2 linked regions of the Macaca mulatta genome follow. The protein of the gene in region 2 purifies or fractionates together with the protein of the main gene of each other region. This does not show direct contact. Links are inferred from orthologs where the notes say so. Each region holds a gene or a part of one and is shown on either strand. Other genes may lie near its edges.

Evidence for each region.
Region 1: the proteins of MTOR (region 2) and AKT1S1 purify together in Homo sapiens (affinity purification with western blotting; 8 studies listed by BioGRID and IntAct, with this or other methods). This does not show direct contact. The link is inferred for Macaca mulatta from reciprocal best matches to the Homo sapiens genes MTOR and AKT1S1.

What each region holds. Positions count from the first base shown.
Region 1 is NC_133424.1:62,337,100-62,341,531, forward strand, and holds the start of AKT1S1 (proline-rich AKT1 substrate 1), read right to left. Parts: upstream 3,025-4,432; 5' UTR 2,499-3,024; coding exon 2,292-2,498; intron 102-2,291; coding exon 1-101. Other genes in the region: TBC1D17 (TBC1 domain family member 17), read left to right, coding at 4,166-4,186. UniProt on the Homo sapiens protein: Negative regulator of the mechanistic target of rapamycin complex 1 (mTORC1), an evolutionarily conserved central nutrient sensor that stimulates anabolic reactions and macromolecule biosynthesis to promote cellular biomass generation and growth.
Region 2 is NC_133406.1:229,491,306-229,495,109, reverse strand, and holds part of MTOR (serine/threonine-protein kinase mTOR), read right to left. Parts: intron 3,404-3,804; coding exon 3,159-3,403; intron 1,733-3,158; coding exon 1,517-1,732; intron 1,157-1,516; coding exon 951-1,156; intron 1-950. UniProt on the Homo sapiens protein: Serine/threonine protein kinase which is a central regulator of cellular metabolism, growth and survival in response to hormones, growth factors, nutrients, energy and stress signals.

The sequences.
Region 1 (4,432 bases), on a different chromosome or scaffold from region 2:
CTCTGTGTGAGCCACCAGCCACGTGAGCAGGGAGTACTGGAAAGCCAGGGAGTCCCAGCAGAGATGCCTCTCACAGTAAAACCTGCACCGGGTTCTGAAGACTGAGTACAAAAAAGCAGAATGAGCCGGGCACGGTGGCTCAGGTCTGCAACCCCAACACTTTGGGAGGCCGAGGCAGGCAGATCACTGAGCCCAGGAGTTCGAGGCCAGCCTGGGCAACATGTTGAGACCCCGTCTCTATTTCAAAAAAAAAAAACGAAGAAGAAGAATCTCATCTGCTTTTTTTACTCTTTTAACATGGTGTCTAGAAAATTTAGAACTCCAAATGGGGCTTGCGTTGAATCTGCTGGGTGATGCCACCCTGCCCCATCGCCCGGCCGTCCCATCCAGAGTGTCCTGCACGAGGCCCAGGGGGCTCCTTCTGCACCCAGAGCTGATGCTACCCCTCGCCATAGTCCTCAGGACTATAGTTCTCAGCCTTCAGCCTGGCCCTGGAGGCTCTGCGTGTTCTGGCCAACGCCAGCTCCCCGGCTATCCTGCCTCCATGGCCTTCCAGAGCCTCTCAGGCCCAAGGCCTTCAGAAAACGTGGTCCCTGACCTGGATGCTCTGTTCCCCACCCACCTTTCACTCATCCTAGGGCGGAAGAAACTTTCCCTCACCCCTAGATCCAGCCAGTCCCCTCCCTCGGGGGTCCCACAACATCTGAGTGGCCACCTTCCCAGCACACTTCCTTCCAGAGAGAACTGGCTGGTTCCATGACTGAGGCCTCAGCGAGAGTCGGAGCTGAACAAAGGTAAGAAATGGTGCTGGTGCCGCTCTCTGTGCTGGGAAATCCACGTGGCTTTTTCCTACAAGACTGTTCGGGCAGGTCCTCTGTCGTCCCTCATCCCCCAGCGTGCATCAGATGCCTTCCAGAGCCCATCTGATGCTGTGGGCTTCCTCCATGAGCATTCAGGTCACCAGAGCTTGTGACAGCTGTACCCTGGCTGCCTCCTGCATCAGACTGTGAATTCTCCCAAGGTCAGGGATTTGTATTCACAGGACAGGTTGGCCCTAAGCAGACAATGCAGGGTGCATCTCCTTACCGGGTGAGAAGAGCGAGGGTAGGGGGGCCGGGTCCTTGCCCTGACTCTGTCTCAAACCTGCTGTGTGACCTTGGACAGCTCACTGGCCCTCTCTGTGCCTCATTTTCTTCCCCATTAACCAGAGTGGTTGAGCCAGAGCTGCTGGGCTGTGGAAGAGGCTCCTTGGGGAGGCAGTGAGCACACTGCCACTGCAGGGATTCAGGCACAGCTGTGGTCCAGCCCACCAGGGTGAAGGGAGCAGGGAGTCTGGAGTTTGAATGAAATTTGCAGGCCCTTTATGACTCACGATCATAGATATCGGTGTTTGCTGAGCACCTATTCAGTGCTGGGATTCCACACCTGGCATCTCACCTCCCATCTGACTCACTCAGGGAGTTCAAAGCCCCGAGGGAAGTAAGAGGTTTATCCACCACTTCCCAGAAGCCACGCAACGACCCAAGATGGGATCAACCTTCTCATCCCACCCTTTCACCTACGCTATGAGGCAGGAGTTTTAGTTACAGTTCACTCCATTTTACAGTTGCAAACTCAGGCCCAGGGACAGTCAGCATCTTGAAGAGTCCGACCCCACAACTGGAAGAGGCAGGGCTGGGACCTGGACTCTGACAGTCTAGATCCAGGGCCTGCTCTAAATCCTGACCGCCATCCTGCCTGCCTTTAGGAGGGCAGATATTATAATCTAGATGGAAAAGTGAGGCTCAGAGAGCTTAGGACACTGGCAAGAAAGCACACAGCTACACAGGGCACAAGTGGGGCTGAAACCGCTGACTGCCCAGCCTCCAAAACCCAATGAACTGGGGGGTACCCAGTGTCTCAAACACACCCCTCATGTCCTTCCTAGCTGATGGAGGAAGAAACTGAGGCTCGAAGCAAGAAGTGGCCGGTCCAAAGTCAACTGCCTGGCTGTGCTAGGCCTGGGGCTCTCACTTCCATGGGCCCGCAGCCCCTAATGACATTCGGAGAAGAGGGGGAGCGGGGGTCCCGGAGGAGGACGTCAGGATGAAACTCCCTGCCTGTACTCAATCTTGGAGGAGCCACGGGATTGAAGAGAGTGAAATAGGGTGAGTGGGTTGTGAGGGTTCCCCCAACTCAGGAGACATGAGCAAAAACGACAGGCGACTTCCACAGGCCTCTCTGCCAAGGTCCAGGGGCACCTGTAATGTTACCCAACAGGAGAGTAGCCAAGACCTGGCGGTCCTCCTTACCCTTGAGCTTCTAGAGGAGGTCCTGTTTCCTCCAAGGAGCTGAGAGATGGAGGAAGAACCCGCCCCGATGGAGAAGTTTCGTTTAAGATCAGGGAGAGATGAGACGAAAGTGAGACGTGTTCCCCACAGGAGGGGGAGCACGATGTGGCTGTCCTCTTTGGATGCGGGGAGGAGGGAAAGAGCTAAGGAGAAGAAGGGTGGAACCATCCCTCCTGTCGAAATTTTAGTGCTCCACACCCCAAGATGTGAGGAACCCGAGCATGAACGCAGTAGCCACGGGTGGGGTGAGTGCCTGGGGCCAGGCTCAGCTGCCCCGAGACCTCCCAACCTCGCCCGTGGTCCAGGGAGGACCCACTGGTCTAGGAAGAAAACAGGAAATCCCGCCCAGCCGGAGGCCAGGACCGGAAGTCCCGCCTTTGGAAGGGTGAGGGGCGCCCCGAGGCCCCCCAACCCATTCCCCGACCCCGTGGACGTGGTCCACGGCCCAAGTAGAGATCCCAGGCGCTCTGGACACCGCAAGGTGAGGCTGTCTAGGATTTGCCTCAGGTCTGACAGGACGATTCCCGCAAGCGACCCCCTTCCAGCGCTCAGCAAAGGGTCGCTGGCGGACCTCTGCCCTCTGATCTGTGCAGGCCATACCCCTCCCGTGAGCCGCTCGCCCTCCCAGCGCCCCGCTGCCTCAGGACGGCCAAATCCTCCCCACACCGCGGTTCACAACGCCGCCTCCACTCACGTGCCCGTAGCCAGCATGGCCGGCCCGGCGCCGTCGCCGCCCTCAAAAGACATGGCGGCGCCTTGCGTCACGTCCGCGTAGTTGCCCCGCCTCCTCTCTGTACACTCCGCCTCCCTTATCGGGGCCGCCCGAGATCAAGATGGCGGCCACAGGGACTTCATCCGAACCAGTGGGCAATGGCGACGGCAGCGTGCCCATAAAAAAAATGGCGAAAAAAACGCTTCAGCTTTCTCGCCTAGAGCATTTCCATTTGCCCCCAACAATAATGGCCGTCCTCATACGCTCGCTCATGACCACAGCAAACGAAGGCAAGCGATCTGACGTCCCTGACCCACGATAAACTTCTTCGACAAAAGTGGAGGAAATCGGTGCTCGTTAACAACATGGCAGCCAACCGGTCTAATCAGCCCATAGTGTACATTGGCTCTCCCTCCCTCCAACCTGCTCCCATTCAGCACCAAAGCTGGCAAAGATCCAACACGGCAGCATTTCTTGCTTCGGTTTGCCAGGCTTCAAAATGGCGGCTCAGCCCGCTTTCTCGCGACGGTGACTCAGAAATTCGTTTGGGGCCGCTTCGTTTCTGGGGGCACTGACGGCTTCATCCCGTTATCCCGAGTCCCTCAGTGCCTCTTGTGGTGTACAGCTCCTCTCACCTCCTCTTCTCTTATCCGTTCGGCTCTTCCAGCTGTCGCGCCCCGCAGAGAGATGGGACACCCCCGTATTAACATGGCCTTAGCCGACCGGCTTAGGCCATGCCCTCGAGCAAAATGGTACCTCCTTGGCTTCAATTCCAGTATACAACATGGAGAAGGAAGTGGGCGTTTCGAGGCGTGCTTGCCCCAGGTGGTGCAGCTCTCAGACCCTCCCACTTGTTTACTTCGTGGTGAGAGGGAGAACACTGCGCCTGCGCACTCTCCGTAGCCGGCTCCACCTTCAGCGTCTGCGCCACGTGGCTCCGATCCACCCTCGAAGTTCCAGTGGAATATCCCCCTTCTGGAAAAATGGTTTCACCCACTCTTTCTCTGGAACTGGTCGGGGCGCTACCACTGTCCGGTCCGGAGGGGAACTGTTTTCTCCGGAAGTGACCACACGCTGACTCGGAAAAGGAGGAGGCGGGGCAGTGGGGCCTTCGGCGGCGACTATGGAAGGAGCCGGCTACAGGGTAAGCACTGAGGACGCATTCCCTCGCTTCAGTGTATGCGAAACGCCCCGTCTGGTGATGAGCTCTTCCCTCAGGCCTTGCGAGTGCACTTGAGAAACTCCGATCTCTTATAAACGCGCCGTCACCCTCCCGTCTACCGCCCCAGGGAAGAACCTCTCATGGCCCCGCCCCCCGGCTCAGGCGACTCCTTGGGCCCTGCCCTCTGTGGAACGCACGCCAGCATCCGAACGTGGGCTGGACCATTCT
Region 2 (3,804 bases):
AACGCAGGCCAGCAGTTAAATAAATCATTAGGCTAAAAACAGAAGTGCCAACGTAAGTACAGCTTCCTAATTTGTTGATTGATGATATAATTTACAGCCACTTTACAACAAATTGTGAACAAACAACATTTCTCTAGAGTGAGTTACATATATTAATGATTTTCTATGTTTAAGTTCCTTATATATTACAAAAAGTGTTTACTTCAAAACAAAGCATGAGGGAGGGTCAGGAAGCAGACAGCGAGCAATGGGGACAGGAAATGAATGGGTGAACCACATAGAGACCCAGAAGAGGCAGCTGGAAATAACTTTGCCAGGCAGGACTGGACCATGTATTGCTCACCAGGAGGCCACAGAACTTACTCAGGTAGGTGAAGACAAAAACTGAGGAGCCATATCTCAAGAGGAATTCTACCTTAGGCTACAGACCAAGCAACTGAGTTTGGCATTCTCATATTATTTAAGAACAAAAGCCAGGATCACAGACTGGGGCAATGACTATCAGAATAAATGGTGGAAACGGTCTCACATTGGTTATTTTTGTGAAGAACAATGGCTTCCATGCTTGACCTGGCACCAGCAAGAAAAGCAGGAGAGTGGAAGGATAGGGAGGCGCTGGGAAGTCTGACACCATCTGCAGCAGATCAATCCAGCAAGCAAAGAGGGCCAAGAAATGGGATCACTGGCGACTTGCCAGGAAAAAGAAAGAACTACATGAGAGGACTCCGAACCACCTTGGAGTCATATTGACAAAGGGCTCATGAGGTGATGAGCACTGGAACTGCCATTATAAAGCCAGGGAAACGTGGACCCTTGCAGACAAATGTGGCTTTTACCAGGTACCTCAATCTTTCTCCCCAATCCTTGTCCTCAACTCCGCTTCCTCAAGCAGCTCTCAAAGTGAGAGTCCTGTCTTCCCTGCCTGTGGGTCTGGCCATCATCCCGGTTACCTGGATGAGCATCTTGCGCAGGAAAGGCATGACAAACGCCGGGTTCATGCTACTGAGTCGGCCCACAGTGCAGATGGCCAGCTCCCGGATCTCAAACACCTGGTCATTCAGAGCCACAAACAAGGCCTGCAAGTTCTCCGCCTGGGCCAGGTGTGCATCAAAGCGCTCGTCCAGGGATGCCAAGACACAATAGCGAATGTCAGGGTCTGCAAGAGCAATGGAGCCTTTGAACATTTCTTCATGACCCCATCACTTTAGCCCTTCCCAGCTTCCACCTCCACTGCCATCAGCGTAGTGGGAAGATTCCAGATGCTTTCTCTCATCTAACCTCTGTTACTCTTTTCTCTACTCATAGGAGTAAAGACAAAGAATTAAAGGCAGATTATCTTACACTAAGAGGCTAGAGTAGCTGCGCCTAACACGCCTTGGCAGAGAAATAGCTGAATATCAGCTTGTTGAGGCCGAAGATCTCTAGAGAGGCCTTTCATTACGTAATGAAACTGGCTACTCGCAACTGCCCTAAGCTCCTTAACTCCCCTAGATTGCTTCTGTCTGGGAAGCCTTACCAGGATCTGTTATCCCAACCACGAGCAGTTTGCTAAGCACGTCTGCCACCACTTGCACTGCAGTCTGGCTAACCACATGAGCATGGCCACTGATGAGGTGGATGGAGGGCGTGAGCAGGCGGGAACAGGTACGGGCAGCCTCCATGCGGATCTCCTTGTGCTCACTGTTTAGAAAATGATCCGCACAGTGGCGAACAAATTGGGTCAGAGAGTGGCCTGGATAGAAAGGCAGAGAGAAAACAGAATAAACACTGCTGCTGCAGACAGGTAGGTCTGCAGCTTGCTAGCTGAATTTTCCATTTTGAGGCTACTAATTCTACTTTCAACCAGATATTGATCAATAAGATACTGACTCAGAACTCCTTTTTTTTTTTTTTTTTTTTTTGAGACGGAGTCTCGCTCTGTCACCCAGGCTGGAGTGCAGTGGCACGATCTCCGCTCACTGCAAGCTCCACCTCCCGGGTTCACGCCATTCTCCTGCCTCAGCCTCCCGAGTAGCTGGGATTACAGGCGCCCACCACCATGCCCGGCTAATTTTTTTTTTCTTTTCTTTTTGTATTTTTAGTAGAGACAGGGTTTCACCATGTTAGCCAGGATGATCTCGATCTCCTGACCTCGTGATCCGCCCGCCTCGGCCTCCCAAAGTGCTGGGATTACAGGCGTGAGCCACCGCACCCGGCCTGACCCAGAACTCTTAAAGGGTAACAAGGGGGCTTTCAATCAGCAGAAAGGCAAAAGAGAAATAGAGAAACCACAATAGAGAAACCACAGGTGGCTGTCTCCAGACAGCATGTTCAGGCTTTCTGTACTTGCTTGTTTCTCTACAGTCTTGACCAATACTACCTATATGATCTTAAATTTCAAAAGTATCAACTTCTCCTCCTGAAATATATCTCTGTGGGGTATTATTGTGGGTTTATTTGCAGTTTAGAACTACACAGTACAGTACTTTTAGAAATCATACCGCCAGCCGGGCACAGTGGCTCATGGTTGTAATCCTAGCACTTTGGGAAGCCGAGGCAGGCAGATCGCTTGAGGTCAGGAGTTCCAGAACAGCCTGGCCAACATGGTGAAACTCCATCTCTACCAAAAATACAAAAATTAGCTGGGTATGGTGACACGCACCTACAGTCCCAGCTACTCAGGAGGCTGTGGCTGGAGAATCGCTTGAACTCAGGAGATGGAGGATGCAGTGAGCTGATATTGTGCCACTGCACACCAGCCTAGGCAACAGAGAGACTTTGTCTCAAAAAAAAAAAAAAAAGAGAAAAGACACCATACCACCATAGACATGGAAACACCCAAAAGCCCCTGCTTATACATTTTAAAGCATTACATATCATCTCAGCTACAAGGAGGTGAAAAAGTGGGGACATGAGGGGGATCTGTCTCTGCAGCATTATTTCCTTGGATCAACGTATACTTTCCCTCAAACGATCTGCCCCCAAACTCAGTATGGGACAAAGAAACAAACAGGAATTACCAATATATGGAAAGAGTCTAGGAAGGATGAGCTGCTACAGAATCAGCTACCCTGTCTCTGGGATCACAGCAAGATCCAGGAAGTCTAGATACTTTCATTCCTTTCCCAAAGTTTCCAGCAGCTCTCACTACCTTGCCAAGAGACATTGTAATTTCTTACCTTCAAATTCAAAGCTGCCAAGCGTTCGGAGGGCAAGAGTGATGCTGCCCACATCGCTGGCCTCAGGGAGGGTTGTGAGGCCAGGAGAGGCCAGCTGATGGGCCAGGCCCTTGGGCATGCCTGGGTGGCGGAGTGGTTTGTGCATAAGGACCAGGGACAGCATTTTCAGTAGCCCATCTTGAATGTCCTTCTTTAGCTGTGGAATCTGACGACTCAGGTCGTAGAGCACTGCAGTGAGGGCAGGGCTGAGGGGAAGGAAACAAGCCACATAAGGGCTGGGCACATGACACTCAGTCTGTTCTTGGGAAGAAATAGCTTTCTCTCCTAGCAAGGGGATCAGGCCTCTGTTCTTCAGAGTAGAAAGGATATTATAAAATAAGAATAAAAGTGTAAACTCTCTTGGCTTAGTCTCAGGTATCCAAACAATCTGTGAGTTTCTGGTTCTCACCACAAAAGATTTGCTCACTATAATTCAGCCACTACAGAAGACCAAGTCTCAACAAACACTCTGGGAGCAGATTTAAAACACTGTCCTTATTTTACAGATGAGGAGAAATTAGTTTAGGAAGCTTAAGCAACTTGCTCAATAATATACACAATATTTGCAAATATTTATTGAGTACTTCCTATATGCCAGGCATGGTGC